Arabidopsis thaliana: one gene and its partner. The protein of the gene in region 2 interacts with the protein of the main gene of each other region in a pairwise test. Each region holds a gene or a part of one and is shown on either strand. Other genes may lie near its edges.

Region 1 (3,661 bases), on a different chromosome or scaffold from region 2:
ATTCATTTTAATATTAATCTATTTCTTGATATATACATTCTTTTTTATTTGATGATCATTATGAAATTTTGATAAATTAGTCTTTAATCTTAACATATCGTAGAATAAGAACACAAACAAAAAAAAGTCATCTGTGGAGCTGGCTAATCAGATCTGAATTTATCATAAGCCTTTCTCTTTTTAATTCTAAAATAGAACGAGTTGTATGATATTTGTGTGGCCTATATTGTCTAACAAATTTTTTAAAGTGGGAAATTATGGTCATTAACATACTAATAGATGATAATAAAGTATTGCATGGATGTACATATGTGGCTGTGTATTGTTTGCGTCAGCTTGGACAAGTTGCTCTTGCTTTGTGTTTTCCCTCATTTTTTACCCTAACTCACATTCTCCGTTCCATTTATGTCGACAAAACAAAAATGAATGGGATAGTGAGACTCTAATTTACAATTAATGGTTAAAGATATTTCCTATAATTTTAAAAAAAAAACTTTTTTTGTCAAAGAAAACAAAAACAAAAACATTGAACAGTTTTTTAAATTTTGATGATTTGCATTATTACAATATCATAAAGTTAGTGGACTTTTATTTATCGCTTATTCATTTGATGATACTTACAAAAAAATCACTTTATTTTCCCTTCTTTTCCGACAAAAAAACCCGATATTTATATATTACAAAAAAAAAACACAAATAGAGTTTTGTACACGTATCATTATGGAGCTCACACCCGCTCCAAAAAAAAAAAAAAAAAAAACCTTTCTTAGCTAACACCAAAAAACTCAAAAAAAAAACAAAAACAGCAAAGGGTTTTAAAAACGTGATTAAACAAAACATTATGGCAATGATACAAAATAAACTGTTTTAAACAAAACATTATGGTAATGATACAAAATAAACTGTTAGAGATCCCATGACAAGCCATGGCCAAAATTAGGGCTAATTCCGTGACCATAGTTATCTTCGGACGACTGTCCCCACGGCGGCGGATATAAACAGTAGTCAACTGAGTCATAGAAGACAAACTCGTTCCCAAGGTTAGCCGAGTCGACGTCGTAACTCGCCCCGAGACTTGGAAGCTCCACAATCTCACCGAGCTCCTCCGACTCAGTCCTCGAGAGGTCCATCACCAACACAAGAGACTCGAGCGAAGACGTAGAAGACAAAGACGACGACGAAGACGTGGAAGATGAAAACGACGTCGTCGGTTCCATGTGAGCTGCTTTAAGAGCTGCTGTCTGAATGTCTCGAGGGCTTAATGAAACGGGTCGAGGGAATGAGTCAGCGAGTTCAGGGAAGTTTAGTATAGCGGCCGTTCCTTTAATGCTCAGAGCCGCCACGTCGTGTGCACGCGCCGCCATCTCCGGCGTCGGGAAAGTTCCCAGCCAAATACGTGATTTCTTCCTCGGCTCACGAATCTCCGACACCCATTTTCCCCAGTTCCTCATCCTTACTCCGCGATAAACAGGGTGTTTACCGGAGTCTCTCCCACGTTTAGTCTTCTTCTCGCTTTGCTCAGCTTTGCTTTTGTCACTCACTGAGTCAGACTCCGAGTTAGGGACAAGAAGCTGAGTTACTCTCTCCGAGCGGAGGCTGTAGTATTCCTCTGCCATTGTGTTAGCTTAGGCACAAGTATCGTACAAGTCTATTATTCTGATTGCTTTTTTCGATTCGGATCCCGAGATTAATGCAAATAAAAAGAAATAGCTAGGCTTCAGGGGGAAAAATATATAAGTTTGAGAACTATTCAAAATGAGGAAAAAAAACAGGGCAGTGAAGTGTGATGAAGAAATGAGAGAGAAACTTTGATATGAGAAGAGAAAAATGTTGGTAAAATTTTGGCTATCATTTCTCAGTCACTCAAAATATTTATATATGCATTAATATATTTGGGTACGGGTTAGAAGAGAGGGAATGGGACCAAAAACAATGCAATAAGTCTAATTGAATAAAGGAAATGGACCCAGTGGCTCCATTTATTTTTGTTTTTCTCACAGACCCACTCTATTTCTATATTGTGAATATATTGTTATTAGTATAAAACGACACACTTGGGGTCACTGTTTGCTTTAATATTTTTCCCGGTTCTTAAAATCTCATTATGCAACTAAATTAGGAAAACAAAATACTTTTCAGTATATTAAAAGATTATGAGACGACCATATTTAGAAGGGCAGTGTTGAAAAGAGATTTTGTCTCGGCCGGGTACGTAAATTATATGAAAGTTGTCTCCGAGATGAACATGATGAGACAAGCCTTTTTTGTTTTGTGTGGTAAGATAATTTTCACCTCAGTTTTACTGTTTAATTATCCTTTACCTTGATCTTCGACTCATTGGATCATACATTCCTATTTACATATTGGTATATATATATGCTCATCATGTGAAGGCAATATGTATCCACATATATGATATGCCATAATTGCAATTTAGTTTTGATCAGAATTAATATACATATTATTTACACGGATATAGAGTTATTGTCTTTCAAATTTTGATTTTCTATAAACATATTATATGAATGTCAACAGTTTTTGAAGATTTATTCAGGAAATTTTTTTAGTAAGTATCATATGTTTACTTTAGTTATATATATCGAGGGCTAATTAAAGGAACTTGTCTTAACCAATAAACCATATGCTTCGAGGCTAAATTTTAAATTTTGGAGAAATTTGTAACTGAGTGTTTTTTTTCGAGACACCAAATGGTGTGTGATTAATTGCACAATTTGTACTGATTTCATTTGAGAGGATATTTTATACTTAGACTTGAAAAGGTGTACTAAAGGGGGTTTAACCGTAAGTAAATTGATAATTAATACCTCTGTCCTGGTCTTAGAAAATATATGGGCGTAAGACCCATAAAAGAAAGAAATCTACCAGCCAATTGATATTAATTAGGTTAAAGTTGCTTCCAAACTAAAAAAAAAAGCCCCCAAAATTAGAGGTACAATATTGCAAATAAAGAAAAGAAGTTTGTAGAGGAAACTTCAAGAAATTTTAAGGGACAATAACTTGTTCAATCATGGGGTCGTATTTGCGTACCTATAAGGAAGGACGAGTGTCTGTCAAATATACACATACACTAAAGTCTTTTAATAATCATGCCAAAAAAATGTCTCTTAATGACGAAAAAATAATGTCTCTTAATAATCATTTTGGATTTTTCACAAGTAATAGCAATGTCTAAGTACTTGCAATGAAGAGAATTGTTTGTATTTTCGCCTCTCGTTTCAGCAATACGTATATGCATTTTATATTGATCATATACGTAATACTAATTAACAATAATATTGATCATCTTAAGTTTACTAAAAAAAAAAAAAAACTGGTCAACAAAGGTTTTAGAGTTTACAAGTTTCTAATTCAAAAATTATTGACATGAATATATTGACTCTTGCTTTATATTTATCCTAGTTAAACAGATTTTATGTGAGATTCTTACAAGTCTATTTAAGACGAGAACGAAAATAGTTTAATTGTTTTGAAAATATTGTTAGAACACGAGAACAGTTTATGAAATCAATCGGATTACAAAACCATTAAATAATTTTGAAACCTCTATTTAAAAGTCAAAACTAACTAGTAATGAATGAAAAAATAGAAAAAAAGAAAAATTATTCACTATATTTCAAAATATAAGATGTTTTAATTAAAA
Region 2 (3,851 bases):
TTAATTAATGATTTAACTTTGGCAAACTGCATTTTACTGAATAGCTTTACAATTAAAACAGACTCACCATACAAATAATTTTACATATATTATTGATTTTTTTGGCTTATAATACTTTTAGTTTCTGAAATCAAAATTTATGGAAACAAAAGTATCTTCTTATTTATCAAAAAGTAAGTCACAACAGCCCAAAATATCTGTAGGCTAGAAACTGCATTAATTATTTTAGCATATCTGATAGTATGAGAATTGAGTGTATAGGGGGGGAAGATAGATGGACAAAACAGGATTCAAGTCCGAAAGAGTTGGGCTATGTTTTCTGCTGAATACACATTTCGACCCAATTAGTTAAAATAATTCATCCTTTTCGTTTTCTCTAGCTAATTAAGTTCCTACACATATCCTTCGAGAACAAAAATCTAACACACATGCATGTTAGCTGCTGAGTCATTTGGTAACACGGTTCACATACAAAAGGGCTTTTTGAGACAAAATATTTATAAATGAATGACTAATCATCATATGGAGATTTCATCATTAAGCAACTTAGATTCTTTGTAATCTAACCCCAGATATTTCTGAAATAGAAGATTTGTTAAGTTTTTTTTTATATAAATAAAATACAAAATTTATTGGGATAAACGTGTTTACATCAATTGCATCGTTTGTTTAAGTACATGAGTAAAATCAAGAATTTAGAATGGAAAGAAGAAATGTTTGTTATGTCGATCCGAACCAAGATTTGTTAAGTTAAGACCTCTTTATCATTCATCATACATATTTATGAAGAACACCGAACATGCAAAAGAAAACAAAACAAAACATAAAACTCAAAAAGAGAAAAAAGAGAGATTCGTTAATCTCTATTTGTACACCTAAAACTCAACACCAAAACTTGTAATTAAGACCAGCCACAAAAAAAGAACCATTCACTCACTGCACACCAGTCCAAGCTCAATCTTACACGTGTCCTCATCCTCAGACGTGCCACACCTCTCTAACTTTCTTTTCTTCATCGGTACCACCACGTGATTTCCACGTGCTAAAGGCTCCAACCCCAAAGTCAGCTCAAGCCCGATCCAAGTCTTTGGTTCCTCCGTCGTCGTCTCCTCAGAAGACACCGGTGACTCGTGACTCAGTGACGACTCATGACTCAAAGACCTCACGTTTCTCTCTTCCTTGCATGCACCACGGCTCCGTCTCTTAACGTTCTCGTCCCTGCTTGACACGTGTCTTATGTCGCAAAGCTTGTTGTTAAAAGGAGGTGCTTGACCAGTAACCGCTGCGTCGCATGCGATCGGAGTCACGGGTGAGCCTCTCATTACTGCCTCAACGGCCGCTTGACAAAGATGCCAGTTTCCTGACCACAATAACCCCACGGATCCGTATATCGGATTCACAATCCTCCCGCATGCTTCGTACAACAATGATCTAAATATCGCTGCAAAAACAAACAAAATTACCAAATTATTAGATGCATGTTAGAAAAATAAACAGGATCCTACGTTTCCTAAAAAGATGTATGAGAGATTCCGTCCAGAACTTCGCAATTAACCATAACAAACAAAAAACATAACATGCATGGGAAGTTTGAATACCAGGACGGAGGTGGTCAGGACCGGTGTTGAGGAGGTTCATGAGCCCCGCACGGCCATAAAACTTGGCGAGGAAGACGGTGGCGTTGGCTTGAGATTCAGCGGATTTGATCCATTGAAGACAAGGTCTTATGCTACAGTTTTCACTGCAGCCTTTTCGTAGAACTCGACATCCGTTACAACTCATACGCATTTTAGATGGGAAACAAAAAACAAAATGTGTTTTGGGTTTGAGGGAAAGTACAGAATGGTCCAGAGATCTTAGAAGAAGGAAGAGGTATTTAAGAGGGAGAAGCTGCTTGGGTTTGGTCGGAGAGATCATAACAATTAACAAGGAACGAAGTTGTCGTTTTCTTTGTGTGTAATTTTTTTCAAAAAATAAATAAATTTGTGACGTGCATGTTATATTTTTCTCTAAATGGATATCGTAATTTTCAAAGTATAAATAAGATGTAAAGAGCCCAAAAAAGAAGAGTTTTGTAATTGTTTTTATATTTTGTATGAATTATTTTAGTAAATTACGAGAATATTACCTTTATTTAGGTAAGTAATTTTTTCAAACTGTTATTATGTGTTTATAAAAATAAACAAAGCTTCTCATACTATTTGTATAGTTATAAAATTTTAAAATCTTTAATTTTCATGGTTTATACATTTTGTTTGTTTGTTTGTAGTTACTAATAATATATATTTTTTTTTTTGGGGAAAATAGTTACTAATAAATATGAAATATATATGGAAGCCCGTTGAGCTTTGTCTTTGGCTCTCATTCGTAGCGCGTGATCATCATCGACGAAAATGTCCAAAACCAGTCAAGTATTTTATTTTTTTGGTTAGTTGTTTATATCTGACCGCCGTTTGTTTTTGTCTAGACCGCAGTTTAATGTTCGGCAATTAATAATGGACTGCCAAAATATTTGGAGATAGTAAATTTTGAAAACGAAATTACTAGAGGGTAAAATGGTAAATAGAGAGATGAGAGGTTCGAATTTCAACGTTCGCATGCAAGCGCAAAAGTGTGATCGCGTGGCGGAGACATTGTGGTAACAGAGTTTGGTCGAATCGCCGCGTTTTCTGAGCGGTTACACATTATGTAGCTCCATACATAATTCTGATAATTAATATTAATATCCAAATACCTACTTAATAAATTATCTTAATGGAATCACTTTGACTTCTATAGGCTCTAGTATATATCAACATTAATATCGAAAGACCTACTAATAAATTATCTGCATGGATCACTTTGACTAATATAGGCTCTACAATTTTTACTTTTAGGTGAATAGATGCCAACGTTTATTGGTTAGATTTGGTAGTTTCTTCCATTGAAACACCCATCATTGAATGGTGATGTTTGAATTATTTCTATTACTTCTTTAATAAAATAAAGAAAAAAACGCACACACAATCTATTAATTATTATTAAGGTTTAGAAACAGTTAAAAATTAAAATTATAGAAAATATATAAATATCTATCAAAAATGTTAAAAATGTCAAATCGCAAACAAAGTTTAGATAAAATATTTATTTAAGTATATCAAACATTATATAAACATTTATAATTATTTATATAAAGATAAAACTTAGTTAAAAACTAGAAAAATACAGTAAAACAAAATATATATAATTTTAACGGATAAAACGATTTATTTTTTCTTCTGCCGGCTATCACACGATTAATACGATTGTCTCCACTTTAACTAATAATATAATCATGCGAACAATCATAACTATAGCTAGTAGACTCTATAGAGTCAATTTTTCTGAAAGACCAGTTACAGACGAATGTGAAAGCTATATATGCTATATGATATATACTAGTATGAAATAAATTTGTTGTCGTTTCAGGTAATTTAGAAGACCTGTATAAAGTTGTACAATAATTTTCTATATCAAATAACTTAACATATTGTAAGATAAACAATAAGTCAATAACCTAATTCCTATATGTATATATATTATGTTTTTGAAAAATTCAAATGGTATATATACATGTTTAGATAGACGTATGGATAAATACAGTTTCAACCAAATTATCATATTGCTATAGAAGTGATTGACAAACAGATATGATAATTCATTAAAATAAAAATGCATAGGTAAGAGGTAGAAAAATAGATGCATACAAAATATAAGCATACGAATAAAATTTTTTGTCGTCTTTCTTATTGTCGTCTTATAATAAACAAATAAATACAAATTCTCTTAATTGACAAATACGAAAATGGATATGTGCTAGCTGGAATAATACA

The links.
Region 1: the proteins of LBD40 (region 2) and TINY2 interact in a two-hybrid assay, tested with the Arabidopsis thaliana proteins (one large-scale study listed by BioGRID).

What each region holds. Positions count from the first base shown.
Region 1 is NC_003076.8:3,726,884-3,730,544, forward strand, and holds TINY2 (Integrase-type DNA-binding superfamily protein), read right to left. Parts: upstream 1,844-3,661; 5' UTR 1,617-1,843; coding exon 906-1,616; 3' UTR 570-905; downstream 1-569.
Region 2 is NC_003070.9:25,051,738-25,055,588, reverse strand, and holds LBD40 (LOB domain-containing protein 40), read right to left. Parts: upstream 1,917-3,851; 5' UTR 1,789-1,916; coding exon 1,599-1,788; intron 1,442-1,598; coding exon 930-1,441; 3' UTR 725-929; downstream 1-724.